Arabidopsis thaliana: one gene and its partners. The protein of the gene in region 2 interacts with the protein of the main gene of each other region in a pairwise test. Each region holds a gene or a part of one and is shown on either strand. Other genes may lie near its edges. The genes, in order: TCP2, PRR1 and AT2G37000.

Evidence for each region.
Region 1: the proteins of PRR1 (region 2) and TCP2 interact in a two-hybrid assay, tested with the Arabidopsis thaliana proteins (one study listed by BioGRID).
Region 3: the proteins of PRR1 (region 2) and AT2G37000 interact in a two-hybrid assay, tested with the Arabidopsis thaliana proteins (one study listed by BioGRID).

Annotation. Positions count from the first base shown.
Region 1 is NC_003075.7:10,158,609-10,170,197, reverse strand, and holds TCP2 (TEOSINTE BRANCHED 1, cycloidea and PCF transcription factor 2), read left to right. Parts: upstream 1-4,614; 5' UTR 4,615-4,755; intron 4,756-5,520; 5' UTR 5,521-5,888; coding exon 5,889-6,986; 3' UTR 6,987-7,276; downstream 7,277-11,589. Other genes in the region: AT4G18400 (uncharacterized protein), read left to right, coding at 91-174; AT4G18395 (uncharacterized protein), read right to left, coding at 364-723; AT4G18380 (F-box family protein), read right to left, coding at 11,099-11,589. UniProt on the Arabidopsis thaliana protein: Plays a pivotal role in the control of morphogenesis of shoot organs by negatively regulating the expression of boundary-specific genes such as CUC genes, probably through the induction of miRNA (e.g. miR164). Participates in ovule development.
Region 2 is NC_003070.9:11,542,413-11,552,893, forward strand, and holds PRR1 (pinoresinol reductase 1), read right to left. Parts: upstream 5,605-10,481; 5' UTR 5,542-5,604; coding exon 5,194-5,541; intron 4,905-5,193; coding exon 4,664-4,904; intron 4,554-4,663; coding exon 4,350-4,553; intron 4,221-4,349; coding exon 4,060-4,220; 3' UTR 3,748-4,059; downstream 1-3,747. Other genes in the region: AT1G32090 (early-responsive to dehydration stress protein (ERD4)), read right to left, coding at 1-46, 130-231, 311-446, 543-695, 1,313-1,629. UniProt on the Arabidopsis thaliana protein: Reductase involved in lignan biosynthesis. Involved in secondary cell wall biosynthesis in fiber cells. Unlike conventional pinoresinol reductases that can reduce both pinoresinol and lariciresinol, PRR1 shows a strict substrate preference toward pinoresinol.
Region 3 is NC_003071.7:15,538,326-15,548,351, forward strand, and holds AT2G37000 (TCP family transcription factor), read left to right. Parts: upstream 1-1,920; 5' UTR 1,921-2,064; coding exon 2,065-2,631; 3' UTR 2,632-2,923; downstream 2,924-10,026. Other genes in the region: SIGF (RNApolymerase sigma-subunit F), read right to left, coding at 133-363, 444-699, 794-979, 1,072-1,169, 1,276-1,430, 1,604-1,691; NAP12 (non-intrinsic ABC protein 12), read left to right, coding at 3,395-3,624, 3,704-3,780, 3,858-4,133, 4,240-4,303, 4,384-4,530, 4,637-4,671, 4,762-4,835, 4,912-5,759 and 6 more; AT2G37020 (Translin family protein), read left to right, coding at 8,186-8,582, 8,817-8,913, 8,990-9,105, 9,811-9,855, 9,991-10,016.

The DNA of each region.
Region 1 (11,589 bases), on a different chromosome or scaffold from region 2:
AATTGTTAGACTTGGAACCTAAACAGTGAAAGTTGATGAACCCGGCTTTTCATGTGTTAACTTGTTTGAGATTTTGCTCTTATTTTGCAGCCGTTCCTGGACACAAAAGCTACGGAAGATCTGAGAAAAGAGACGTTGAGGTCTTCTTCCAAACGAGCTAAGAAGAAACGTTAAAAGGAAAAGACTTGGGCGTGATGCTTAATCTACGTAGGTATGATGTTCATAAATGAGTTCTTATGCTTCAGGTGAAGTAAAAAAAAAACTGTTGAATGATTGAGAAATTTTATTTGATAATCTAAAATTATATACAATATTTACACAATTACTAAGAAGAATTAGAATCACCCTTTCTAAAGACATCTCTTAACTAGACCGAGCGAAAATCCGGCAAACCGGTCTAAGACAATCAATCGCAGCAACCGCCTGATGCTTAGCCTTCAAACAGAATCTCTGGAACCAATTCGTGTCAGGAGCAATGACAATCATAGAAGATTGAACATACATCGAGGCTGCTCTTTTCACGAGCTCGTTGCTAATGGCGATGTTAGAAGAATCCATCTCTGACAAGAGAAAACCATCTTGTGAAGGAACACTGTATTGTGGGTGACAAAACAACGAACCAAATCCATCGGAACTTGAGATCACGTCTTTCAAGCTCGTGTACTGGAGATTATTCTGATCATTGTCGTCGGAGATAAAGATGTAGGGTGATTTTTGCAACATTTGGAAACCTTGTCTCCATATTCGTAGTAGTCTTTAAATGGTGGGAGAGTCTGATGAGTTTAAATATCTTCCCTTGTTTTAGACGACCGGTGATTCCTTCTATTTAGCCTGAACTATCGGAAAGGCCTTCAATTTTTTGGAGACTTTCCACTTTTAAACCACATATAAAGGAAACTAGTCTGAACATTTAAACCAAACAAACCAAAGTTATAAACCGAAACTTAACATGGGCCGTGAAGTATACACTGGGCCTTAACTAAAGTATATAATATTGTCCAAATTATTATTTTGGAAAATTAATTTTACATATAAATTTTGTAAGTTCCTTGGTGGTAACACATTTTATTTCGTCTGCTTTAATCATAGTTTTGGGGCTTGATGGAAACATGACGTTGAACTCACTTTGACTATGCTATAATTTATATAATATGCTATAACATATATATTTATATATATTATTTAGATGTTGCAACAAATATATGTATGTATGTTGTGGTCCTTCGATGATTGACGAGAGATAAATTAACCAAGTTTAGTTCATAGACTAGTCTGAATTGATTTACATGAAATGGGTAATAATAAATTAATTAGAGTTAATCTAATAATAGAAAGGTATATACCTCTAGGTGGACCTATATTTCAAATCACAATTAGGGTTTATTCCATATATAGAGCATGTAAGAAGCTTAATAGACAAAATTAATCATGAGTCATGCCCCCACTAGATTCATTAATGGTCCATTTTAAAAGGACATCAACTTCACTTGTATTTTAATGTACTCTCTTAATCAAAACACTTGACACAATAGATTAAGAAATAATTTCGTGTCGGATTTCTTTTCTTTTCTTATGTTTATACAGTAAACAAAAATTATATTTCAATTTTGTTGTTTGAATTGTTTAATTCGTTTGATTTTACTTACTCTGGTTTTCTAGATACCACAAATAAATAAATAAAAACTGTATGAAATAGTAAAATAAGAGAAGCATGTGAACGCAAGTCTTCGTATAAAATTATTTTGCTCTAAAACCAATTTAAACATAAAAATATAATTTAACTCATTAAATCGGTGAAAAACTTCCGATTTGTATTAGTGATTTTATCTTTTTTTGTTTGTAAAGAAAAAAATGATACATGACTCTCGCAGTTAGCCCATCTTTAAATTGAATAATTTTACCCAACCTATACAATATTACAATGCATACGATTTGTTAACTTCATCGTCCATTTTTGGTGTTTCAAATAGTTAGATTTAACAACACAAAAAAATTCTATGGATATATTATTTTTGTGCAAGGCAGTAATAGTACATAGTTGCAATGACCAGAAAATAGTACATGTGCAATAAAAAGGCTGTTTATAAAATCATAACATCACATCACTCACTGTGGTCAAAACAGTACGCACTACAATACGAATCTAGTAAAGATTCAGATCCATACATTGTTTTTATTTTCTAATTATTTTTGATAGTTTGGTTTTAAAATATTTAAAATACGGATACTCTAATTAAATTTTTGAATGTAACACATTAAACGCATAATACTTAAACTCATAATATGCCTACGTGATAGACTGATACTATTGAAAGAGATATAAACTTTACTGACCGTATATAATTTGGTTATTTGACGATTGGTTATTTACAAATCTTACATTACGAGCAAACATATACATGGGTATTCTGAATCTTGATATTCAGTATTGACTACTATTCAGGAACATAAACATAACTACTATTTTCCTAACTAAACAAGTAACATGAATACTATGATGAGAAAAGAAGAAATGTATAACTACAAAATATAGAAATCTCCAAGGCCAATTATAATTAATAAGGTTGATATTAACAAGCAACATATATATAAGAATCAGGGTTCTTAATTTTAGTTTTTTGTTGTGGTTTTTTTTCGTTGTTGTCTATTTTAGTGATTGAAATTCATTTAGAGGACTGATTGTCAAAAAAATAAAAAATAATCATTTAGAGGACTTGGATGAGCAGAAGCAGAAAATTAAAAAAAAAATAAGCATGAGAAAATAAGTAAGCAGAAATTTGGGTGACCAAGAAGCAGACACGTGCAGTGGTCTGGTAAAGGCAACAGTGATCGAGAAGTGAGCAAGTGTCCGTTAAGACAGCGACACGTGCTCTCGAGACCGTCGTGAACCACTTGCTCTACTTCTTTCCCTTTTTCGTCATTTGTTCTTAATCGCAGTTATTGAATTCCACAAACCACATTAACTAATAACTAATCTGTACTTATTAAAGTTAATAGAGTATGGTGTAATACCACTTGACTAAAAAAATACTACTAGATTATTAAAATTGCAAACGATTTGTACTAATTCTTGAATTAAATTGTGCGTGTTTTTTCCATGAAGTTCTAGTGATGTGATGTGGGATTGACATAGTGTAAGTTATTAAAATAGGGGTTTGGATTTCTTTATCAATATGATTTGTTAGGTGGAAAAGAAATGTATAGGTTTTAAAATAGTTTTCATTCTTCCTTAAATATCATTATCCCGGAAATTTAGTTATTTCTACTTTAAAATAGTTTGTTTAATTTTTAGATATTTGCTTGGATTATGTGCTTACTTTGATAATTGTTTTGCATTGTCTCCAAAATAAAATTTGTTTTTATATTTTTATTAGGCTAGTACATGTTATGGTTAAAAATAGAAAAATATCATAAAAACTGCTAAATTTAGACATTTTCTCATATAAAATTTTTATTTTTTTTGTTCTATATAAAATCCCAAACTTTTCAAATTTGAACCCGAGCAATGGCTGACTAAGACCTATACGATAATTTAGTTAAAAAGGTCGTTGACGACATATTTTTCATTTGATTAATTTTTGAAATTCACACATAATAGTTACAATTTTTCTAATTTCTAAGATTCATAGTATAAGTTTTTATCGTAATAAAGATATTTTTTTGGTAAATAACAATTAACATTGTTATGATACGGACAGTATATATATTTCCATGTAGCATTTTTTTATAAAAAAATTTCATTAACATAAGCAAACTTTAAACACATAAACAAAATATAAATAATTTACTCACATATCTAAAATTAAAAGACCTCAAACCAAATAGATAATAAAAAAACAGAGGAAGGATTCGAGCTTTATGCTCAAGAGAGAGGGTCGAGTTTACTCTGCAAAATGTTCTGAATATACAATATTAATCATGTCGGAGAACAAAAAGACTAAGAGTGTAGGCGAGACCGCGAGAGTTCCTTTTTTAAAGCAAGTAGATAAAAACTTGGAAAACTAGCTTGAGAATGAGAGATATGTTTATATTGCGGTATGAATCTTTTATCTATCTAAATCTATGTTCCGAAGGAATTGGTGGAAAACCATGAGCTTTACATGTAAAGAATGATAGACCAAACCTATTTTGAAAACATAAAACATGTAGCATTTTTTATGATCGAAACATATCATAGAGTAGATTATTGAGTATTAATCGAATTCTATTTCTATGAACAAACTAAAATCCTAAGGACACTTGGACAAAGTGAATTGTTTTTTTGTTTGTTCTCCTCTCCTACATAAATATACATGTGACATGAGATAATATGATTTCTCATATTCACGCATTGATTTGTTTCTAACATTTCTATAGCATTTATGTTCACAACTTCTTGATATAATAGCTGCCAAAAAAAACTTCTTTAAATATTTTCTTGTGTTTTTATTGCCAAAAACAAACGAAAATATCAAATAATTTTTCTCACCTGAAATCAAATTACTGAGGATGATAATTTAATACAGATATTTTGTAGAGGACCGTGGCAATTCCGTGAATAAGTAATGTAATGAAGGGCAAAAATGGAAATAAAATCAAAGTTTATGCCCAATATCTCTCTCCCCATCTGATGATCACTCCTTTAAAATCACCATCAAAGAAATTCCAATTTTCTCGGATTTTTATTTCTTATATACAAATCCCTAAAACCCTATAGCCCTCTTTCTTCGTCACCTACTACTACTAACTCCAAGCTCAAGCTCCTCTGTTTCTTCTGTAAGTCTCAATTTATCTCATCGAATTTTCCGAGAAACAAACAAAAACCAATCTTTTTCATAGAAAGAATCTGAATTTCGTGTTTATACTTAATTCTGATTCCAAAAAAACAATTCTAGATCTAAGATTTTTATTTCTTGATGAGAATTTCACTGTAGAAAGAAGTGTATTTGTTCCTTTAATTTGCTTTAAAATTTTGGTTTCATATAATCTCAAAGCCAAGAGCTTGACACCTGTGATCTGCATAGAATCCAGAACACATCAATAATGATTCCTTTTTAAGAATTTTTAAATTGATTTAATCTTCTTGTTGGTTACTATGAAACAACTCTTTTTCTTTCATAATTAGAAACACCAAAATCTTTATATAGAGAAGAAAAGCTTAAAACTCGATTTCTGCATTTTTTGTCTTCTTACTCTTTAAAGCCCTCCATTGATAATCGCTTCAGCCGAAAGCAGTTGATTCAGCTTAATTATTTATCATAGCTTCTGATTCTTCTTCTAGCTCCTTCTTCTTTAATCACGATCATTAACTTTAAACCCGTTTTATCAATTGTTGTGATATGTCAGATCTACAATGAGTAGAGCATAAATTCGAATCAGAATAACTGATATCTTAATTATGTGTATATATGAATGAAAGTCATCTGTAGAAAAAGTCGATAAGGATGTAACATATATATATATATATATAAGCATTTATGTATATATATATGTGTAAAGATTTGTTCTTATGAGATTGTTTCTTTGTTTTTGTTATTGCAGGCTTGTGGTTAAAAATCATTTCAGACACAGTGCTTTTGATGACTCTCTGCAACAAACAACAGCAGCTGCAGACAAAGCTTATACGAAGCTGTATCTACTGACTTTGATGGTGAAATATCAAAAACCCTAAATTAATTTTAAAAAAAAACACATTTTTTTTCTTCTTTTGGTTTTTCCTCTGAGGGTATTCATCATCAATGCTTACAAAGTACAGTGGGTAAACAAAACAAAAACAAAAACCCATTTTTTTCTCCTTCTTTAAATCCCAAACCAACCCTAAAGTTTTGATTTTTAATTTTGGGGGTAACCAAAAAAAAACAAAACCCTAATTTTTTTTCTTTAGTGATGAGATTATTGGTGATGATGAAATGATTGGAGATCTAATGAAGAATAACAACAATGGCGACGTTGTGGATAACGAAGTGAACAACCGGTTAAGCCGGTGGCATCACAATTCTTCCCGGATAATTAGGGTTTCACGAGCTTCCGGTGGTAAAGATCGACACAGCAAAGTCTTGACTTCTAAAGGACCACGTGACCGTCGTGTCCGGTTATCAGTCTCCACCGCTCTTCAATTCTATGATCTTCAAGATCGGTTAGGTTATGATCAACCTAGCAAAGCTGTTGAATGGTTAATCAAAGCTGCTGAAGATTCAATCTCTGAGCTTCCTTCACTCAACAACACTCATTTTCCGACCGATGACGAGAATCACCAGAATCAGACATTAACAACAGTTGCTGCTAATTCCTTGTCTAAATCTGCTTGTAGTAGCAATTCAGACACGAGCAAGAACTCTTCTGGTTTGTCTTTATCAAGATCGGAGCTTAGAGATAAAGCTAGAGAGAGGGCTAGAGAGAGAACAGCTAAAGAGACCAAGGAAAGAGATCATAACCACACTTCGTTTACGGATTTGTTAAATTCCGGTTCAGATCCGGTTAACTCAAACCGGCAATGGATGGCTTCAGCTCCTTCTTCATCTCCAATGGAGTATTTCAGTTCGGGTTTAATTCTCGGGTCGGGTCAACAAACCCATTTCCCTATTTCAACAAATTCTCATCCTTTCTCATCAATCTCCGATCATCATCATCATCATCCTCATCATCAGCATCAAGAGTTTTCATTCGTTCCCGACCATTTGATATCACCGGCAGAATCCAACGGCGGAGCATTCAATCTTGATTTTAATATGTCAACACCCTCCGGCGCCGGAGCTGCCGTCTCCGCCGCATCAGGTGGTGGCTTCAGTGGTTTCAACAGGGGGACCCTTCAGTCCAATTCAACAAATCAGCATCAGTCATTCCTCGCTAATCTACAGAGGTTTCCAACATCAGAAAGTGGAGGAGGTCCACAGTTCTTATTCGGTGCACTGCCTGCAGAGAATCACCACCACAATCACCAGTTTCAGCTTTACTATGAAAATGGATGCAGAAACTCATCAGAACATAAGGGTAAAGGCAAGAACTGATGATATTAATTATTGCATCTTTGGTTTTGTTCAAATGCTCATTTTGTATGTTTATCTTTGGTTTATTTCAAAACAAATGTTAATCTCTTTCGTTGTCTGATGTGTGTTAGGGTTTTGTTTTATGTATTGAGGGTCTTTGGAAATCTTTTTGCATTGTGCTTGTAATGTTGTATTTGTGATAATAGCATTTTGTTTGTGAGTTTATAATTGAATTTTTGAATGTTATTTTTGCCATGTAATTGGTATAGTTAGCATTTTTTTTTTCTTTAGTAAATTGTTTATAGTACGAAGATACTGTTTCTTGGTATTCATGAACAAATGGTAGGTCAAGGCAATAGGGCGATCCTTTTAAGGTACTAGATTGAATCAAATCAAATACTCAGAAGAATTAAATACAGAAATTAAGAATTTTCCCAAAAAAATAAAAAATACAGAAATTAAGTGAAGAGACAAAAAAAAACTTGTAAATAAAAATAGAAAGAAAGAAAATATACATAATAATCAGGGAAATAAATAATTTTGATAGACAAAACTGAAAAATTGAGGGTAAGGCCATTATGCATTGAAGAGAGTGAAAATCAAAATGAATTGTCTCCTGTTGTGCTCTATGTTTGGTTCCCTTCTTCCTTAGCATCATCTCTCTCCATATGTATTGTTTTTATAATCTATCTATCTTATGAATATATCTTCTTCATTTGACAGCTGTTGTCTTCAACAATGGCTATTCCCAAATTTTCATGATTTTATTTCTTATGATCTGTTTATATTATTATAAGTTTTTTTAACTTTTTCTTTCATGGGCTACTTGATCTTCTGCACCCACATGGCTAACCCATCTTTTAGGGTACTAGACAAAGTATTATTAAATTCATTCTTTTAGTTGTTTATTAGAAAACTTTCAACTTTTGTGTGGTTTTGGGATTTAGAGTAAAGTTGTTTTACTTGTGATTCATGTGTGTTTGAGGCTTAGGTACTTTCAAGTAATTTCCAAAAGTGAGAAAGATAATAATATCTTAAAAAACCTTTGATTGGGAGTCCCAATATTATATTGGCCTAAAACATTAGAAACAATAGACATTACAAAATATTTTAAATAACACAAAAGTGTTTGGAGATAACCATTTTATTATGAAAACACATAATTTTGTAGGTTTTTAATAAATATAATTTTTGAATATAATTATGTAACATCGCAATTGGCAAATGTTTATTGATACTGTTTTCAACAATTGCAATATATTATTGATTTTATATAGTTTATATTTTATTATTATTATACTTATATTGACTTCTATATACAGTAATTATGAATTCATAATATATAAGTTTGTATCAACACTTGTGTATATGATTTTTTCTTTTCTTTATCTGGTTAAGTTTATATTGGGCTTAGAACATTGACTTTGTTTCAAGGTTTATCGACCCATTAGAAGTTTTCTTTTACATGAGTTTTGTTTTCTAAAAGAGTTGCTTCACTTTTTTTGCTCTTGCGGTTTCTTTCGACGAAGATTGGACTCCAGTGGGCCGGAAAGAAGAAGGCCTTATAATCCCGAACCTTCTCTTTCAGAAAGTTATTTCTCCAAAGGGAATATTCTTAATAAGTTTACATTGTCAATCAATTAGAACCAACTTTAGATTTTTCGAAACAAACTGTGACTGTACGTCTACGGTCTACATATTAGCAAGTCTCAAGACTTTTACCACAAACTGGTGGATAAAATTACAGACCATGGCTTTTTAAAAACAAAAAGTAAAAGTGAAAAACATACAAAAAATAGATAGTTGATGATTCAAACTAAAATTAGATACAAATTAAGCATCGGAGGTTCTTCATATAGGATGTACATGTACTGATCCGTTTGATAGATCATAGATCTAACCAATATTTTTATTCAGATATCTTAACTAAACTATTTCTTTTAGTTAAACTTTACTTCATTTTTGAATTAATTAAACAGTTTTTCTTTAGGCTCTGAAGAGTGGAGAGGTCATTTTCTACATTTGTGTATAATATATTCGACATAATATGTTCTTTACTTCTTTTGGGGGAAAAAGCCTTAATGTTCGGGAAGCCTTTAACCATCCATTTCTTTCTTTTTTTCCTCCAAAGCCTTTACATGCACAATGAGAAGTCCGTGATTTTGTTCTTTTCGAAAATAAAAGTCTCTTTGGTTATAGATTAAATTACGTCAATCAGATTTATTCATGAATATAATAATAAAGCTGATTAAGAGAGGAAGATAATGTTTATCTTTCTTTTCTTACAATAGAAGTTGCTATGTATATGTTAGTATGTTTATTAAAGTTAAAGCAAAGAAAATTAGATGAATCGTTTGCAACGATAAATGGTTGTTTTGTTTGAGAGTTAAGCAATGCCTAACCCTAAGCTTAAGCAATGCTTGAACCATAAAATGTCCCCATTGAGCTGAAACGAAAAAATTAAGTTTGGTTAGAGCTACACATGTTCTTAATCTTTGTTTACTGAAAATACAATTGTATACTTACTTAATAATCACAACTTTCACTCGTCACCAGATCATTTGATCATTGCAGGGACAAAGTAAAACTCGAACACGTTCTGATGCAAATTAAAATGTCGCTTTTTTTACAAAAAAATTTACAAGGATTAAACTCACATAGATAACAAAAGCATATCATTTTGTTTTATGTAAATTATATTTTTATGGTAAAAAGTGGTGTGTGAACGTATCTGAGCGAAATAGTGATTTCATCAGAATTATTACGGAAAAAATATTTATTTGATCTTAAATAATGACAATTGTGACATATATTCTACATTATCATCATTACTCAATGTCCACTAAAATTTCCGTAAGTAATCATATTAATTTTGTTGTCAAAAAGGGTACAATAATTTCATCCCAATCACAAACTTTTTGCCTGCCCGAAAGTAAACAAGTGGGCTCTTTCTTCTTGAAGTATCCAATATCTTTCAAACAGACTAAGCATATCAACATATATAATACTTCTTGTCATGTGATATGCATATGTAATCAATGTAAAGCGGAATTTTTTAAATTTTTTGAGAATATCTTTAAAACAATTTAGGCACACACATTGCTTGCGTCCAAGTCCACCAATACATATTTTAACAACGTCGCTAGTTTTAGACCAAGTTGCATTTCATTGGGTTTTCAATGATTTGATCAACACATAAATTGCAAAAAAATCATTGGTTCAAAAATGAGTTCAAATTCCATATGTAGTTAACATGGTAGATAATAGGTTGAGTAGATTAATATGTAAATATTAGATAACATACGTCGAAACTTTTGCTTTCTTTTTATAAAATATACTGTAGTTTTAGTTTAGCTTTAGGACCGAACCAGAATCCAATGGTGGTACAGGTCCCTGAGTCTCCTGAACCACTCTTTGCCTTTGGTATTGAATGAAAAACTTTAAAAGAAAAATAATGCCAAAAAATACGAAATTTAGAGGAATTACGAACAAGTAGGTGGCAAACGAAATTACCTGATGTGGTAAAAAGTAATAAAGTACTTTACATTGCTCAATATTATTTTTTAAACAACTTGGGACAAGTATACAAAAGACAAGGAGAAGCAAAGCAACTGTATCTCTTACCTACAAACAATATTCACATAAATAATGAAAGAAAACTTGCTACATGGAAGATTTTATAAGATTAAAACTTGCTCTTACATGATTGCTTTGCCAGCTAAAACAAAAAACAGCCAGCGAATGCGGTTTCCGATGACCAAGCAGACGGAATTCGAACCTTCCAATAGACCAATAACACATAGAATTGAGCTCCATTGGTGAATCTAAGATTAGTCACACTGCATACAAAACTGATCTTATGCATTGTAGTCTCTCTCTTTCAAAACCTGGTTAGCCTTTGTGATTCATTCACCTATCAAACAAGAAAGAACCAAGAATAAGGTTTGTGACAATGAAACTTGTCCAAAACATAAAATTTACAATCTTCAAAGTCAAATTTATAATGAATTCGTTCTAATTCCTAGAATCAATAAACCAATACTAGTTCCTTAGTCTCACAATAGATACTCAAAATTACTTTAAAAACAGAGTATTTTAATACCTCAGATCCGACTTAGCGAAATCGTCAAGCTTTAGAACGAATTCATTTCAAGACAATAAGTCCTTCTCTTAACCAACATCTTAGCAGCTACCCCATAAGGCTCATCAAACGCAGAAGAAACCCAAGACACATCACACACCTCCTTCTTCGACTCACTCGGCCTAATCGCCACAAGCGTAGCTCCCTTCAACACAGTCCCATCAGGCAATTCCAAAGAAGGAGCATACCAAAGTCTCATATTCAAAGCAGGTACAAGAGTCCTCTTAGAAGCTGAAGAAGCTGACAATGGTTTCACTCTCAATTCCTCTAACTGATCTCGATTCATACACAAAACTCCTTGACCATCAACATCAGTAAGCACTAAACTATCAAGCGTCTTATGCTCTGCTATAATCGGTTGCAACAAGTAATGTCTAGCGGAAGCAGCAATCAAAGAGCTTATAGTCCATACAACACGTAGCTTAAGCCCTCCGTTTGTATAAAACGATTCCGGTATACTTCCATTATCTTCCACCGCCGCGA
Region 2 (10,481 bases):
CTCTTTGCTTCACCAGCTTTGCGTAAGTGTTCGCATTATAAACAGCCTGAAACAAGAATGTTGAATTCATCAATCACACACTAACGCATTCTACAACTAAAGTAAGTGATGAAGGACAAACAAAATTACTTGATGACAGAGGTAATGCTCAGGGTGATTCGTCTTAAAGAACTGATCAACGGTATCGGGAACCGAGTGACCAGGCATGTCAGGGACGTTTCTAACAACAACCTGCAAAAACAAACAGTAGTATATATAAACATAGATGCAACAATTATCCATGTTTGAAGTTTGCGGCTTTTTCACTCACAGTGAACTGTTCTGGACGCCTACGCTGTGAAGCTAAATACTGCAGACGCATAATAGCGACATTATTGTATTCTCTGTAGAGCATGAAACATGCCCAGAACGTGAAAATGTACTCTACTGCAATATGAAAGAAGAACCTAAACACACACACACACATACACAGAAATGTTAAACTTTAGCCAGTAAAACTCATTGATTAGTAAAGCATAATTTTAGTTCACAAGTAAGCTCACTTTGAAGATTTGGGCTGAACATTGGATATAGAGAGCTTATCGATATTGCTGACCACAAGTTCCTTCTTCAAGAAGAAAAGTGTTCCACTTGATACATTTACTGGAACAAGAACAACAAGCGCTAATACCATCACTGGTGCAAAGATCTTCAAGCTGCCAACAAACCAACAAATTATTCAGATTCTCACATAAATTTTTACAGTAACTTTCCCGGGGAAAAAAGAAAGATATCTAAAGAGTGACTTTTTCTCAGGAAACAAACACGAAACAGTGAACAGAAACGAAACTTCTATTGCTTTTGTCTTTGTGGAATACAGAGCAGACAAATCTGAAACTTAGCTGTACATTCTTTATATTGTTAAAATAAAGTACAATCATTCTCACGAGTAAAGATTCTTAAAACCGTGAAATTCGGGAATTTGTCACTCGTAAAAATTCGTTCTTGGAGATTACAATCAATCCCACAAAAAACCCACAAGAACAAGAACCAAAAAAACATAAATTTTCTCGAAAGTAACAATTTTTCTCTCGAGAACCATTAATCAAATCTTAGTGAAATAATTATGTAGGACAATAAAAATAAAGAGCAACTGTAATAATCAACATTTTTCTATCAATATTGAAAAAGTTTCGATTTTTTTGTTCTTTCATTTTCTCGAGATATTGACTTCTCAACAGATTTTACTAGCAAACAACTCAAACTCTCAAAAAGTTTCGTTTTTTATGTAAGACAAAACCAAATTCCGAGAAGAAGAAGATAAAATACTTACCCGAGAGTGTAAATCCTAAGGAAGATAGCAGAATCAAGACCAGCATGACGAATAATCTCTGATTCACTCATTTTCATAGCTTGAGGCATCCAATTAAGGAACGTGAAGTAAGTCTTGTAGTTGAGGTTTACGAATTTTCCGACGAGAGTTCTGTCGGAGCGCCGAGGACTGTTTCTTTCTCCGGTGAGATACCATTTGGGGAAGTAAACTCTGTCGTTGATGGGTTGGATTCTTAAGACAGCGAATGCTATAAGAAATAAGAAAGCACCGAAGAGGTTGATGAGAGCTGAGACTCCTATGTCTTGTAGAGTCGCCATTGTTGATAAACTCGAGAGAGAAAGAGAAGAGAGATGGGTTTTGATGGAGAGTGGCGTAAAGGAGAAAGAAAGAGAATGAAGAAAGTATCCAAACTCTAGGAGTTTCTAATATTTTTATTTTTGAGGTTTTTTTCCAATTGTTATATAAAAATATTATCCATTTCTATAAACAAATGATTTTTTCTTCACCTTACCAAAAAAATTAAAAAATCTTTCTACAGATTTTATGGTAAATTATTTTGATCTAATACTAAGATAGATGACATCCGAAAAGATAAAAAAAATTCATAATAGTTAAACATAAGTTACATAATAATGTTTGAAAATTATTTAAACTAAAACCCACAAATCATTGCATGTTTATCAATTGTAATGTATAATTATAACTAATTGACATAAGGTAATACCATATTATATATATAAAAAAATTATGGACAATATATTATATTGTATACAGCTAATTTTCATTTCCTCTTACTTATATTTTGGAAATATCTTTAAGACCCCTTGATATTTGTATTGTACTATTTCATATGTTTTTTTTTGGGTTGGAATTAGGTTTAGAGCCAAGAGATAAGAGAAACCCTCAACATTTGGTGTCAAAGTATCATGTTGTGTGGGCCGGATTTAAATTTGGTTAGATATCAAAATCTTTTTCTTTTGGGAAATAAATTTTGAATAATTCATTTGATGTTTTTTTGTTACGATTATATTCCTAAAGAGAGTATGAGAATTGAGAAATGCTCATTGCTTATTGTAGTGACCAACTATCAAAGTAGTAGCACGCGTGAAATCATCGAGTGATGGAGTAAATTTCGTTTTCTTTTGACTTCTTTTGGTATACTAGAAATTAAATAAGGTTTGATATATGGAGAAGCATCTTGTATTTGCCTTTTATGAGTTTCTGTATTAACTTTTCAAATAAAGGCAAAGTTTTCGGTTACCTAATCTAAATAATGGATAAATTATAACCAAATGACAAATCATGATAAAATTATATTCTTCGTATTAGGAGATGTACTTATAGTTTTTAGGTAGGACATGCATTTATTTTGGTCGAGGAAATCAAAAAGCTTTGCGGGAATAAAATATGGACTCGTTTTAGCTTTATTTAAAATATAGAAGAAAATTTTGACGAACAAGTTTTTGTCAACAAACGTTATACAATTCTATACGTTTGATCAGTCATACAATTTTTAGTCATTTCAGGAATAAAAATATTATGTACAGAGTCTATGATCTTGATAAATTTTAATATCGCTTTTGCTTAAGGTTTTGGGATTAGTAACATGTCTTGATGCGCTCATCCACGTTTATCTACTCGTTGGCAATAAACATTATGCTAACATTGCTTGTGTTGCCTTCTTATGACTTAAAAAAGTATTGTTTACATTCTATCCACAACAAAAATATTTGACTTTTACGTTTTAATTAACCACCGATTAGTTTGTACGAAATCGCGACTAAAAAAAAATATGTGACGTAGTAGTGGATAGTAAAATTATCTGTTTTCATTCGAACTCAAATTCGGGTTGATGATTTTTATAATTATATATGCAAGGATCATTATCAAACCATTTGATTTCATAATGTTTATGTGTCAATGATGGTAAATTGGAATTATTCGAGTTTGTAATAAACAATTGTAATATACTAACATCCGTCCTCGTGATTCATTGATGACACTCCAAAAGTCCCATATGCACATTATGCAATTATCAGCCTTTGTTTATCTTGTCTTATGCGCTGTCTTTTATTCCATCAAATTTTGTATAGTCTCGTGTGCGTTGTTGTCCACAAAAGAGAGCAATAGTTTATTATTACTTATCTTTTGGCGGCGATTACAATAATTTAGTACACAAGCTCAACTAATTGTTTGGTTTCAATTTATGCATATTCACATACACTTAGAAAGTTCCAATTCCAACTTGCAACCACATAGTTTAGCACTGGTATATAAATTAAAGACTGGGCTTACAAGTGGGTTTTATGGTTTTTTTGCTTTAAGAAACAAAAACTTGTGATCTTTCATATTTCTACTTTCCTACTGATTTTTTTTCTCATTTGTTAGTAGTCTTCTTTCATATCGATGCAATTCCATGGATATTTTGTTGTTGTTGTTGTTGTGTGTGTTTTTTGTTCTGATCTTAGTTACGAACCGAGATACAAGATTTCATCAAACCTCTCGAGCTTTGGACCTCCGTATTCTTCCATACTAGAAGTTACGAGGTAGGGTTCAATCAGTAGAGTTACCAACGCCTTACTCCTTGTGTTGTTGTTGTTCTTTTTATTGGTTGTTAAAAACCAAAGATAATATTTTTTCTTGCATGAAGAATATATTTTTAAATTTGCATATATAGCAGAACATGAATGAATATAAAACATCAAACTTTTGATATGTGTATTTAGTATAGATAAGACTTGGTCAAATCAGAGGAACATTCTTAAGTAATCATCCATGCGTTTGTACTTGACGTCAGGATAAAGACTAGAAGCTTCTTCGTCTTCTCCGACTTCGTGATCAGTGAGACATCCTTCATAGAAAATGTGATAGAAATGTCCTATCCCTGCTTGGTGTGGAATCTCCATTTCTACATACATGTAAAAGAAATCAAATAAAGTTGATGGGCTATATTTTTCAAATAGACCTAAAGCCTGGCCCATTAAGGATATGTTGCCGAACATAAAGTAGATTACGTTACACTATTGCTTGGACTTACGTTCAATGTTGGCGAGGAAGTCTTGTGCAGCAATATTTGTTTTCTCCAATTCTTTTCCGGTTAGCTTTTCCCAGATCTGAACTAATTCCAACTGCGTGAGAACGTTGTCGGGAGGTCTAATATTCACGGTTTTGTTTAATGTCCGTGGATCGTTTAACGTTTTCGCGGTGTATTTTGCGATATCATCTTCATCCGCAAACACCACTACAAATATAAAACGGTTTAAATTGATTGGTTTAGATGGGCTTGATCTAATTTAAAGTCTTAAAAGGTATATAACCACAAAGAGTTAAAAAAGAGTTTGAAAATTTTACCTTTTACATTTCCATCACCATAAATATTAACTTTTTCTTTCGGAGGAAGTAAAGTTACCATCTGAGACAAGTTTCCGGCGAAGTAGGCGGCAAAGCAAGCACCCACAACGTAAGTGTAAGGAATTCCGGCAGCCTCTATCGCCTGACGCACTTCCATTTTCTGGTCAAAGGTTTCTCTTCCGGGCGGTAGCGCATGTCCCATACGTGGTGGATCCATACCAAATTCAGATGGTAAAAACCGCTGAAATTATTAATCTTACGTATATCATTATAATTACAACAAGAAACAAAAAGTAATAATAATCAACAAGAGTATCAAGTTTCTTTGTATGCATGCAATATGGATCTTTTACCGTTGACGTTTTTTTTCTTATAAATGAAATGTAAATAGTAAAACAAAAATAAACTCTCCGGCTTTTTTAATTTTATTTTCGTGTGGTTTCTTTACTTATAAGATTTTTTTCAGATTAACCGCACAATTTTCTAAACCGATCAATCATAATTAAACTTTAATTTATAGTTTATTATACCTTTACGTTACCAGCCTCTTTGATAGCTTCGACGAGCTTGAGCTGGACTAGAATGTTATGGCTACGGAAGTGAACACCGGACATGGCGGAGACAACGACGTCAACAAGTTTCACGGCGGATACGAGGCTTTGATGGTCGGAGAAAGAACCTTCAACGATACGTGCGCCGAGTTTCTTGAAAGAAAGAAAGAGTTGGACTTTCTCGATTTCGAGACCAATCTCTGGCCTCTGCAAAACGTAAGTCTCGTGACCTTCAGCCAAACACGCCCTTACTATCCTCTTCCCTATGTATCCAGTCGCTCCAACCACCAAAACGCGCGTTTTCTCGGTGCGTTTGCTCTCTCCCATTTTTTGTTCTCTCTCTCTCTCTATAGATCAATGTTTTGGTTGAAAGAGCCTCTCTTGATTGTGTATATATATAATGAATCGAAACATATACATTTACATATATATGTGTACACCTAACCGATAATTGTATGCATTATAAGTAAAGATATCGACATTTGATATGATGCCTATGAAAGAAAATACGTATTTTCTATTAATACTTTTCTCACCATATCCTTTTTCAATGAATACTTATGACAAAATATACTCTTTGATTATTTTAAAGAATTTATATTAGGTAATCCACGATTAGTAAATAATATCTTAATTCCGAAAATAGTACATAATTGGATTGTAACACAAAAATAGAGATGTCTATATGAAAACAGATTAGTCAGTTCTTGGGTCTTTACCAGTGTGGAACCATAGTCTCTTAATAATTTGACTAACGTGTTCGTTTACTAATGTGTCTCACGACACCTGATGACTCCACTAGACCTTTCTGAAAGCGATTATTGTTCTAACTCGTGGTGACATGTTTTGGTGGGATCTTTCGCTAACACTTTAATTAGAGAATAGAGATTAATTTGGCCGTTTTAGTATACTTTGACAAAAATTAACTATTTCTGACATAACTATTGACTTTAGAAAAAACAATTCGCCAACTCTTCAATTGGAGTTTGAAAACATGTAACATGAGCAGATTTTTATCTCCATATATAATTAATCTATATTCTATACCAGTTAAAAAGCTTACGCATGTATTCATTTACAAACATGACATCATTTGTTTGAAATTCTATGTGTATATAGTCAATTTTTCAATGGTCACAAAGAATCCCCTAATCGGCCACAATTTTTTCTTTCTTTTTCGGCCATCATATTCACATAAAATTTGGTACAATATGTGTAATATAGATTAAAAATCTACAAATAGGTGTATTTTGTAAATCTCTAAATGCTCCGAAGTAAATAATTGTTTAAGTGGTGGCGTTATGACCCACACGCCGCACTCTTCTGAGCTATTCAACCTTATTGTGATGACTTACAAATGTCATCTGAGCTTTTTAGATTCTTTGCAATGGAATAATAATCCTTATTAGTAGACTAGTAGTTCACCTAATCTCGACATTTTTTAAAAAATAAAAATAAATGATCAAACGCCATATGAAAACAGAGCTTCTCTCTTTGTTTGCGTTTACTCCTCTTTTCACATAAATTAAGTAAAGTAACTTTTTATTTTATTTTTTAATTATTTTTTTATTAATTTAATAATATTAATTGTACTTTTCTCCTCTTTCTATTAGTAACAAACAAATATAATAATAATATAGATACAAAGTGGAACAAAAAGAAAACTACAACATCAAATTGTATAAAACATAATGATTTTCTGAAATTAAAAACACAAAAATTATGATATCTTTTGAAGGGTAATAATTTTGTAACATTTAAACATCAACTATCAAACGTTATTAATTTTATCATAAACAACAGGAAAAAAGATTGAAGACAATGAACAAATTAACCCTACGTCATGCAGTTTTCTATAGATTTTGTTTTTGTGTCAACCTCACAAACTAAATTAAAATATGTAAGGATGATTGGTTTCTCAAACTGGATTAGAATACAACATCAACAAACCTGATGCTAGATACCAAAATATTCATTTTAAAATTTATACGAAAGATTTCGAAGTAGACAAAAATTGTCTTAAAAATATTAAAAAGCTGGTCAATCGATAGGGAAATGCATATTCTTGACCAACTCTATAAGGTTCGTCACAAAATCTTGACTGCTCGAGAGAGTGTTCTCCACATAATATGAATGCAGACTACTAAATTACAAATTCCGATTAAATCAACACAAAAATAGATACGAATTTCTGGTGAAAGTTAATGTATAATAATGGCCAATATTATTTTAGAATCAAATGAAAATGTGAATGAGAAACAAAGGATTACGTGCCTTTTTCTCGAAGCGGGGCTGTGGACTAAAGAATTAGAAGATAATTGTGGGAGAAAACAAAAACAATTATGACAAATAGATAAGAGAAATTAATTATGGGGTTGGTGAGAGCACCGTGATTGGTTGTGGAAGATGCCACGTGTGAAGATTTGTGTTCTATCCTTAAAAAAAAAGAAATCATTCTTGTAATAATTAAAAAGTAGTTGAATTTGTGTTCTGTCCTTATAAAATTGGTTACAGTTTCAGTGTTTCGTCCAATATTCAAGGTACCGCTAGAGATTTGTTGGATGTTTGATTCACACCTACACTTGAATGGAGTAATTGGAGAAATTAGGAATGAGACTAAAACCATGGTTGTCTCAAACTATATGTTGGTCCATCTATATAAAGTATATCTATGAGATATAATAATTTTCAAAAAAGTTATAGGTCCATTTTTATGTATGTTATATTTTTTTAAAATCATAGACTCTAATTAATATCTATATATTTTTTTCAAAACCCCTATTTATATACACCATTTGTTTTTAAAACTGAAATCACTTAGGCCAACTCCAATGAAACTCTAAAACACCATTTTAGTGTAATTTTTGCACTAAAAGCTCTCCAATGGAACTCTAAAATTCACACCATTTTAGTGTAATGCTACAGTGTTACATCAAATTTGGTGTGATACTATTCACAACTCTAAACACTATTCACTTATTATATCAATAAAAATTCAATTAACAGATATAAAATTACAAATGATTAATAAATATAAAATATAAAAATGAATGTATACATTAATATATTATATCTTTTGAAATTGTTGATTTAATTATGATATTTTTATATTATTATGTATGAAAATACTTAAAATAGTTAAAAATTTATGTATTTTTAAATATATATTTCAATGTACTATTTTTATAATGTTATGTATTTCTATACTAATAATAAATATTAATCAAAACTATTAAATAATAAAAGAAATCTTTTAAATAAATAATATAATAGTAGATTATTCTTTTAGTGTGATTTTTGGTGTTATGGTTGGAGAGAACATAAGTTTTAGTGCTAAAAATAGTGTAATTTGAACACCAAAATGGTGTTTAGCCTTGGAGATGCCCTTATACATGATAAAAAGTAAAAACGCCCTTGGTTACAAATATCATATTACTCTACTTTGATCTTTAAAACAAAAAATCTTATTATAACATTTTTATATATCTTTGTATATGTTTTGACCTTGAAAATTTCTCTAAGTAATGAAAGATGTTTAATACTATATCCATTAATGCATGTTTCCACCGGATTAGGCAGTTGAATTTGTTGAATAATTTTTTAGTTGATTATTTCAAAATTTGCTATGTCAGTGTATTTGTTGGACGCCTTGAACCATCTTTAGCAAAAGTAATGTATTTGTTTTAAATCAACCGGTTTAAATTCATGCAAAAATAAAATTCTTTCACAAAGGCTAAAAATTTGACCAAGTCAGTGGTAGATAAAATAAAAAATAAGAAAAAAGTTTTTGATCTTCTCGAAAGCATGCACTTTTTGAATTAACAATGTAACTCAAATGTCAAAAGCCAAATCTTATGACTTTTTAACTTATAAAACATTAATAGTTTATGTATTGGAACATTCTGCATGACTGCATCTATGTGCCCCTAGTTTAATGAATCTAATTTAATGAATTACATCACTATACCCAATAATAATGTAAAATTTTTTCTCACATTTCAAAGCACTAGATCCCCAAAACTGACTGGGCCTTTAATGGGCTGTATTATGTGGATCTTTAATAAACTTAATCTTTAGAGAATTTTAATTCTCTTTCTAGTAGCCGTTATCTACCATTTAATTAATTAGTATTAACATTTTTAATTAATGATAAACTTTTTCTTAGTTGGTATTAAAACGTAGATTACAAAGTCTCTTGTTCTAGATTCTGTTTATAGATTTTGATCTTCCATGTTTCAGTTAGTTTATGTTTTGCCCTTCCTTGAATTCGGATTTGTTATGCATTAGAAGTTGTGTTTGTAGGCTTCCCATATTCTTGGACTTTAGACTCTTAGTTATTATGTTGTTTGTCGGCTTAGTTTCTGCAATTGTTTCGTTAACTGCCAATTTTGTAAAACTAAATCTATAATTTATTTTTAAGTGAAAAGAAAAACGTAGATTACATGGAAACTCCTTCCGAGGTTTGTTTCATATTTTGGATTCAGAATTTCTTGAAAACGAGAATAAACACTTCATAAATGAGATTACTAAAATTAATAATCTAAAAACACAAATACCATTTACGAGTATTTCAACCGAGATACCTGAATGTGGTATGAATTCTTTCTCTTGCGTTTAAATCGATTGGAATGAAATAAGAAATCTATTTCTTCGTCTTTTTTTAGTAAATCCGAGTTTTCATGAAAACAAAATCTTGACTATTTTTTTTTATTAAGAAGCTTAAATAATATATAAGGTATTTTGTAATTTTTAAAATCCTAATTTCTGAACAAAAAGAAAAATCTAATTAGTTTGAAGAATATAAATCACGTGTTTTTTTCCTAATAACTTTTAGAATTCCTCTCTCTTCTCACTTTGTTAATTCTACATAAAAATTGGTTATGCTGCTTATACTATCTGGAAAATACTTTTTATGTAAAGCTCATAGCTGTAACAAAAATAATTTCTAGAATGAGATTTCTGTATTTACCAAAAAAAGTTCCAAAAAACAGGAACAGGATAAAATTTTCCAATTGAAGTATACTTCTGACGTAAAAGCAAAGCTCCACCACCGTTAGATTATTATCATATCTCTAAATAGATTTTAAATTTTGTTTCTTTTTAAAAAACATTTTTTGTTTCCTTCTTCTTCCCCGTTAAGCGGGAAAATTCTGTCGGGATCTCCGGCAACAAACGCGCCGGAGTCAAGATTTTGTCTCTCAACTGCTTCTCCTTTCTTTCCCCATTGTAAATTTCTAAACTTTAGCCAGAAATTGACCCAAAACCCT
Region 3 (10,026 bases), on a different chromosome or scaffold from region 2:
AGAAGCATCAAGAGAAATGGACATCAAGTTAGATCACTCTATCCCACACCAAAAAATACTGAAGAGCTCGAGATATTTTTACAAGAAACCTTTTGTGCCTACACAAAAACAATGGGTTCATTTGAAGCTAACCTGCAATAAGTCCTGAAAGTTGAGTCCACGATTCTGATATTGTTTAGCTATATGGACTACCAGACGTAGGTTTGCTGTAATCAACTTTTCCCGGCTGCTTCTCCCACGGTGGATATCAGATTTTAAGACAGGGGAACTTATCCCCATAGCTTCAGCCCACTCGCCTATTGTTGGTTCGCAGCCGTTTTGAGATTCAAGTTTAGTCTTTACCTTCTCCAACTTTAATAAATGCTGATAGATCAAAGATTATGGAAGTTAGCACCAGGGACAAGAAGGAAGTCCAAGGACACATGAATAAGGAAAGCATGAACCTGTATATGTGATATCAGCTCAGCTTCTTCTTTAGCAGTCAGAAGTTGTTTTGTCTCAGGTCCCCACAAGAAGAGCTGAAGCGCATCATCATTATCAGCCCCTTGTTTATACTTTTTCTTCGCACTAGTTTTCTGAGGAACATAACCCTCATCGTCCACATCGTTTGATTTTGGAGCCCGTCTGTTCTTTGCTCGTCTCTCTAGCTGCCGCTTCGATCTTACTATGTTTCCCTTTTCCGGTAAGGACATAGAAGAGCTAAAACCAAACATCCAGAAATACAAATCTTTTCACATTACAGCCCACAAGTAGCAGATTGATAAGATACACAAACAAGGTTAAAAAAAGCAACCTAGTGGAGAGAGAATCCTTGATGTTGTCAGATGGATTTGCTTCAGTGTCATCAACTAACAATGCAGCTTGTTTTGAAGCTGATAAAGCCTTCTGAGCTAGTGCAACCACATCACAAAGCTCTGCATCAGCTAAAGGAGACACAACTGCCGGCAATTTCGTTTCAGATGTTAAAGGAGATATTAATCTGCAAACAAAAGAAAGGCTACATCATTCAGAAAACTCAAAAGGTTGTATGAAAACTGAAACTGGTGGGTTTAAGAGAGGAAGAGACATTACAAATTCCATAAACCAGTAGAGTGAAGAAGTTGCTGTTCAAATTTCTCATCTTCTCGAGATGAAACCAATTCATCAAACTGCCTCCTCTCCAGAGTCAACTAAAAATGCAAGGAACCCAATCGCATTAAACAAGAGGACTAGAAAGTTGACAACTTTATGATTGATTCAATCTCTTAGGACAATATTGCTGCTAATAAAACACACCTGGGATGTTCTATCGTCTCTTAACGCATGTGACAGAGGCCTAGACTCTTCCCGTGGCTCCTGTGAGAGAACCGACGCAGGAAAATGTCGAGATAGAGAATTGAGATGACGTGAGTTAACAACAGGAGTTGTTGTTTGATCATGAAGCATCACTACTACAGAAATACCAACAAACGAACAAAAACAAATCAGAAAATGCTAACACAAACTCGTATACATACACTAATTTCAAATTGAAATCCATGAACTTCAAATTCCAGTAACTAACAGAGACAAATCCAGCAAAGACACAATATTTCTATATGAAGAGTAGCTGAATAAGAAGTACCAGAGGAAGGAGAAGAGTAGCTGCTCTTGAGATGAGTCTTTGTCTGAAACGAAGGAGATGAAGAAACCAAGTTCCTCGTAGCTTCCATTTCACAGAATCACCAAAGAATAAAAGACTCTGTTTTTGCTTCCACGAATGGCTAAGGAAGAAGAAGAATAAGAACATGAGGCTACTCTACAGAGCCATGACGAACAGATAAGGCGACACACACACTCCCAATTTTTTTTTTGTAAAAATTAAAACTTGTTTGTTGCCATGGAAGTCAGATTTTGTTCTCTCTCCCTTTTTTTTTTTCCTACAGAGTGGATCATGTTGGGCCTTATATTGGGCTTAAAAGCCCAAATTATCCAAAAGTTAATTCGAATCATCTTCTTCTCCCTCCTTTAGTAACCCTAAGATTCTCTCTGTGAATCCTTGTTCATCGTCACTGAAATTAGTTTACAAAATCGACGAATTCGGAGATGATTTTTCAGAATGTGTGCAGAAATGAGTCCAACTTCAACGCTATAGCTTCCGAATCGCGTTCCCAAACGCAGTTCGGTGTTTCGAAATCCTCCTCGAGCGGCGGCGGATGTATCTCCGCCAGGACTAAAGACCGTCACACGAAGGTTAACGGACGAAGCCGTCGAGTTACGATGCCGGCTCTCGCCGCCGCTAGGATTTTCCAGTTAACGCGTGAGCTCGGTCACAAAACTGAAGGAGAAACCATCGAATGGCTTCTTAGTCAAGCTGAACCGTCGATTATTGCCGCCACTGGCTACGGGACTAAGCTCATTTCGAATTGGGTTGATGTTGCGGCGGACGATTCCTCGTCGTCGTCGTCGATGACGTCGCCGCAAACGCAAACGCAAACGCCACAATCGCCGAGTTGTAGGTTGGATCTTTGTCAGCCAATCGGAATTCAGTATCCGGTGAATGGTTACAGTCATATGCCGTTCACAGCGATGCTTTTAGAGCCGATGACCACGACGGCGGAATCTGAGGTTGAGATCGCGGAGGAGGAGGAACGTAGACGCCGTCACCATTAGTAAAATTAGGCTTTTGATTTAGAGTGTTAAAATTAGGATTTTAAAAGTTTAGGAGGTAACAGATAAGGATAATTTAGTCAAATCATGTTGTTTAGTTTGGTAATGTTATTTTGCCACTAAACAACTAATAATATTGTTTGATAATCTTATTATTTGGTTTTGGAAACAAATTGATTAAAAAATAATGCCATATGTTTATAATGTTTATATTGTTTTTCTCACTATTGATTTGTGATTTTTTAGTAATGCTTGAAATCATTAAGCAACACTATTTAAATAAACAAAAATTTCTCATGAAATCCAAAGAATCATCATTTGTCATGCTCCTCCAATATAGTTATTTCTATTTTTGGAAATAAGTTATAATTAAGAAACCAATCATTTTTCTCACCCATTTTTTTTTTCATTTGCTAGAAATCTGGACCTCCTTCCATGATGACCCTTCTCAACTCTCTTCTTTCACGCAAGTCTCTCATTTTTCAACTTTCCAACTTTTGATCTCAACGTCAACATTTCAAGATTTTCTAAAAGAGAACAAAAAAAATCTACAACAAGCTCGTTAGCTTTCTTTTAATCCTTCATCTCCATTTTTCAAGAATATACTCATTGGTTTTCTCAAGACATGATAGAAAAACACAAGACATCTCTACGGATATTTCTATTGGTAGCTTCCAATGTATCTATTCTATTGTTAGGTCAGAGGGTTCAGATATTTCGATTCGGAAGGTTCTGATTTTAAGGCAAGACTTTTGATATAAGAACAATGAGAGTTAGGGTTGATGTTTGTTGGACACAACACATCTTCTTGTTCTTTGTTTTTGGCTTGAGTTTTATGTCATTTGCACTATCTCTGGATGGAGATGATTACAGCAAAACAGGGAACCCAAAAGCTCTTGTTTCGGTTACAAACCTTATCTATACTCGACTTCAGAATCTAAAGACTGTTTTAAAGGCTGACGTTGATCGAGATTTAGGTTATTGCATCAAGAATTTGTAAGTCTTTTCAAAATCAGCTAATGTAGTCCCATGTTTGAATTTTACATTTTTCTCATATCGTTTGTTGATAATTCAGGAAGGGCGATTGGAATGAAGCATTTAATTTTGATAAAAATCTGGACTTCTTAAGCAATTGTGTCAAGAAAAATGATGGTAAACAACATAAAAAGGGTTATGTTTTTATATTCAAATACTTGAACATTGAGATTTAATGGTCTTGTGATATGCAGGTGACCTCACACTTAGACTATGTTCAGCTGCGGAGATAAAGTTCTACTTTAGTAGTTTTGTTAGAAGAGATGAAGCAACAACGGTTCATGTAAAGCCTAACATCAACTGCAATTTAGCTAAATGGGTTTCCGGATGTGAGCCTGGATGGAGTTGCAATGCAGATGATGAAAAAAGATTTGATCTCAACAATGGAAAAATTCTTCCATCTAGAACTCGTAAATGTCAACCTTGTTGTGAGGGTTTCTTTTGTCCACAAGGTCTTGCTTGCATGATACGTAAGATATCCATTTACATACATATATGTTATATCAACATTATAAGTACTAAAACTTTAATCTAACATATTCATTGTTGTTTATTCTCTGATTTATGTAAACGAAGCGTGTCCGTTAGGCGCATATTGCCCGCTTGCCAAGCTTAATAAAACAACAGGATTTTGTGAGCCGTAAGTTGTTAGCTTTCTAGATTGAGTAAGTTAATGAAAAATCTTATTAGTGGATGATTTAAAGAGTTTTTACATTGCAGATATAACTACCAAATTCCTCCGGGAAAGTTGAATCATACATGTGGTTCTGCAGATAGTTGGGTTGATGCTGAGAGTAGTGGTGATATGTTTTGTTCACCAGGTTCATATTGCCCAACAACGATTCGAAAAGTCACTTGTAGTAGTGGGTATTGATTCTTTTATCTCACAACTCTTGTTACTTTTTGAAAATTTGTTTCATATATGAAATATTCATCATTAAGGATGTAATTAATGTTTTTATGTATTACTTAGACATTACTGCAGACAAGGTTCTACGTCACAGAAACGTAAGTTTCTAAAACACTAAAACCTAAGAAAATGAATTGTTTTATAATATCATTATCATTCATTAATTCTCTTTTTGGTGACCGTTTTAGCATGTTTTAAGCTCGCAACATGCAATCCGAATACCGCAAACCAAAATATTCATGCCTATGGAGCGATCTTAATTGTAAGTTGTTAGTTAATTAGAATACATTTTGCTTTAAAATTTGTTGGAAATTATATTTTCGTTATTGTATATATAGGCATCACTAAGTCTTCTCATGATCATGGTTTATAACTGTTCTGATCAAGTTCTCGCCACTCGAGAAAAAAGACAAGCAAAGTCGAGAGAAGCTGCAGCGAGACATGCAAAAGAAACAACACAAGCTCGAGAAAGGTGGAAAACCGCAAAAGGTGTTGCCAAGAACCAAAAGATGGGATTGTCTGCACAACTATCTCAAACATTTTCTCGCATGAAATCTGCTAGAAAGGATGCCACACCAGTTAAAGCATCGGGAAAGTCAAAAGACAAGAAAAAAGAACCGAGTAATTTAACCAAGATGATGAAATCAATGGAGGAGAACCCGAGTAACAACGAAGGATTCAATGTAGGAACCGGTAGTAAACCTGGGAAGAAGCCACAAGCTCCAAAGGGTAAACAACTACATACCCAAAGCCAGATTTTTAAGTATGCATATGGTCAGATTGAGAAGGAGAAAGCTATGGAACAAAACAACAAGAACTTGACATTCTCGGGAGTTATTTCAATGGCTACTGACACTGAGATGAGGACTAGACCTGTTATAGAAGTCGCGTTTAAGGATCTAACTCTTACATTGAAGGGTAAACATAAGCATATATTGAGATCTGTCACCGGAAAGATCATGCCAGGTCGTGTTTCTGCGGTCATGGGTCCATCAGGAGCTGGAAAAACTACATTTCTTTCTGCCTTGGCAGGAAAAGCAACTGGATGTACGAGGACGGGTCTAATCCTTATAAATGGTAGAAATGACTCTATAAACTCGTATAAGAAGATCACTGGATTTGTGCCACAAGATGATGTTGTGCATGGCAATCTTACCGTCGAAGAGAACCTTCGATTTAGCGCAAGATGCAGGTAAATTTATTCTCATATCATAGAGGAGATTGAGAGTCCAATTCTTAAAAAAATACATTTTTATTACATAGTGTTTATGCTTCAAAAAAATGTTGCATATCATTTATTTATATATGTTTCTTTACATGCAGATTAAGTGCTTATATGTCAAAAGCAGACAAAGTTTTGATCATTGAAAGAGTGATTGAAAGCTTAGGATTACAACATGTAAGAGACTCGTTGGTTGGTACGATAGAAAAAAGAGGAATCTCTGGAGGACAAAGAAAACGTGTGAACGTTGGTGTTGAAATGGTCATGGAACCTTCTCTATTGATATTAGATGAACCCACTACAGGTTTAGATAGTGCATCTTCACAATTACTTCTTAGAGCACTTCGACGTGAAGCACTTGAAGGTGTTAACATTTGTATGGTCGTCCATCAACCCAGGTATGTTATCTCCTCCATGAATTATGTTACAATTTTATGTTAAGAAATACTTTTTGCTTAATAATTGGTTTTTTCCTCTTATTAGTTATACAATGTACAAAATGTTCGATGACATGATAATACTAGCAAAAGGTGGTCTTACCGTGTACCATGGATCAGTCAAAAAAATAGAAGAATATTTTGCTGATATCGGAATCACGGTTCCCGATCGTGTCAATCCTCCTGATCATTATATAGATATTCTTGAAGGCATTGTGAAACCAGATGGTGATATAACTATAGAACAACTTCCTGTGAGATGGATGCTGCACAATGGTTACCCTGTGCCTCACGATATGTTGAAATTTTGTGATGGACTTCCTTCCTCGTCAACTGGATCAGCTCAAGAGGATTCCACTCATAATTCTTTTAGTAATGATCTATGGCAAGATGTGAAAACTAATGTGGAGATTACAAAAGATCAGTTACAACACAATTACTCGAATTCTCATGACAATTCTAATCGAGTAACTCCTACCGTAGGTCGACAATATAGATATTTTGTTGGAAGGTATGATTTTTCTAGATTTGATAGATGGAATTTTGTGGTTAATTTCATATGTACATTAAAACTTTAGTCTATCTATTTCAGGGTTGGAAAACAACGGCTTAGAGAAGCAAGACTACAAGCGTTAGATTTCCTAATATTATTAGTTGCGGGAGCTTGTTTAGGAACTCTTGCGAAGGTGAACGACGAGACAATCGATACACTTGGCTACACATACACCATAATAGCTGTCTGTAAGTTTCTTACGTACACAAATATTAATTTACATTTACTAGTATTCGCGATTTTTGGAACGTTAACTAAGCTCTTTTCTGTATGTCTTTCTTTTTTTGTAGCTCTTTTGTGTAAGATCTCGGCATTGAGATCATTCTCTGTAGATAAATTACAATATTGGAGAGAAAGTGCCGCTGGAATTAGCAGTTTGGCACATTTTATGGCTAAAGACACAATGGACCATTTAAACACAATTATGAAACCTTTAGTGTACTTGTCCATGTTCTACTTCTTCAACAACCCGAGATCTAGTTTCGAAGACAACTACATTGTACTAGTATGCTTGGTCTACTGTGTAACAGGCATGGCTTACATTTTTGCCATATTGTACAGTCCTAGCGCCGCACAATTGGTTTGTCCTCACTTTCTCATAATTCATATATGAAGGAACCAAAATTTTCACTAACCATATGGTACCTGAATTTGCTGTTATGTTCTTGCAGTTGTCGGTGTTAGTCCCCGTTGTTATGACTCTTATCGCTAATCAAGATAAAGAAAGCATGGTCCTTAAGTATCTCGGAAGCTTTTGCTACCCCAAATGGACTCTCGAAGCCTTTGTCCTTTCCAATGCTCAAAGGTAGAAAGTTTGAAGATTTAATTCTTCTAACACATAATCAAATCTTAATTCAGAAAATTTGATTTTGGACTCTTTTTTTTGGGTTAGGTACTCTGGAGTGTGGGTGGTGACTAGATGCAGTTCATTGTCTCAAAACGGATATGATCTTAGTGATTGGATATTGTGTCTCATTGTTCTCGTTCTCATGGGACTAATATGCCGATTCATAGCTTATTTCTGCATGGTTACATTCCAGAAGAAATAATCTAATAATTACACATGATTAAAAAGCTTACATTTTGTAAAATTCTTCTATTTTTCATACGTTAAATATTAAATGAGTTATATAAGTAGTTTATAGAATTAGAGAAGAAGGGATTTTAGAATTCCAATTTTGTAATTTTTATTTGTAGATAATGGTGATTATTCATCATGCTTTTTCTTTCTTTATATGGTAACCGGTTTTGGTAAGATAGAGTCATACAGAGAATGATATACAAAGAAATCGGTTTATTTTCAGTTACGATTCTTTGGTTTATATGATCCGGTTTAATTGGTTACTAAGATGATGTCGGAAAGAGAATAGGGAAGCGGCGTAACTAAAAAACACGACACGATGATGAATTCGGCGTTTCGAAACGTTCACATCACTGCGTCTCGTTTGATAAACCCTAAGCCCTTTTCTTCTTCGATTCTCCATTTTCTTCCTCTCTGTTCCGGCGACGCTTCTCCTCGCCGTTCCAATCCTCTCCGGCATAGAAACTCGGTGTCTCCTTCATCTTCCTTTCCCTTCTGTTCGACTTCTTCCTTTTCTTCTTTCTACATTCCTATGGCGGGAGGAGATGGTCAGGTGTCTCATTCGCTTGAGAAGCAGTTCGAGAGTTTCCGTGTTCAATTGGAAGAATCTGCAGCTTTGAGAGAGCAGATTCGTGCTGTGGTTATGGAGATTGAGTCTGCTACTAGGCTTATTCAAGCTAATCTTCTTCTCGTTCATCAATCGCGTCCTATTCCTGGTAAATGATTAGTCTTTAGGTTAAAAATTGCATCTTTTAGCTAAATGTTTGAAATGGCTTGATGGGTTCAGAACTTGGTGATGAAGTTCTCTATGAAGGGAAGTAACTAAAAATGAAGAACTTGTTGAGAAAAGAATGAATATTGAATTACACATAGCCTTTGTTCTTTTAAGAAATTCATTGGAAGTGTTTGGTTGTTACTAATATAGATTGCTCGTTTTGTTGATGGATCAGAGGTTATCGAGAAAGCTAAGGAAAAAATCGTTGATTTGAAGCAGTATTATGGTCGGCTTGCTGAAATTCTTGAGGAGTGTCCTGGACAATACTATAGGTAAGTTTGAAAGCTATGTGTAGTTAGATTTTCTTTATTTGCAATGGTTTTTTGTTAAAAGGTTTTTGTAATGTAGGTACCATGGAGACTGGAGAAGTGAAACACAGGCAGTGGTCTCCCAGCTTGCTTTTATGCACTGGCTAGAAACTGGAACTCTTCTCGTGCATACCGAAGCTGAAGAAAAACTTGGGTGTATGTCTCTGGATCTCAATTTACTATTTTCCTTACTTCCAAATACTGAAATACATATCATGGCCTAGTGGTTGCACTATAAATAAAACCTTATTTTGTTTTGCTAGTTCTCTCACAAACTTTTGTATAGAAACTTCCTTCCCACAATAGGTAACAACTGAGCTGGCAGTAGGCAATCAATTTGAAATCCGTTCATGACTCCAACATACTATACGTGTTATCCTGTGACCCTCCTTTTGCCTGACCTGTCTCAGTTGGAAAAACTAAATGAACGAGTTTTCTACTTTTCTCAATAATCAGATTCAGTTTGCCACTAGTCTTCTTCTCTTATCAGTATGTTAATTAGTCTACCTTTTCTTGCTCGTTGTTATTGATTTTGTCCTTAGGCTTTGTTTCAGTCTGCATTTTATCCACTGTAGTGTCAACCATTTAGCTAAGATTTGATTTTTTCACCTCAATAGAGTTATTAGTTGCCGTTTCCCATGAACTCAGTTATTCTCCCTTAGGATGGATGGATGATAATTGGAAGGTTGGTTTTTCATTACGTTGGTGTAGAATAGATATTTGCCCAAGTGTCGTTTTGTTTCAAATCTGGGTTTTGTTATCTTGTCAAATCAATTGTCTTTGAGTAAAATAAACAGAACAAGGTGTTGGTCAATTCATCTGCCATTATGGCTCTTCTAATTCCACTTCATTGTACTTCAGTGAACAGTTTGGAGTTTGGATTGGAGACAGAAGATTATCTCACTGGTAAGTTTCTGAGAAAGAACCCATATTTGCTCTGGAAGGCCAATATCTATAGATCAAATATGCCTTACGAGCATTTTATGAATCGCAACATTGCTTTTATATTCTCTGATCTTCAGCTTTTTGAATACTTTGCAGGAATTTGTTTCATGTCAAACGATTTGGTAAGATCAT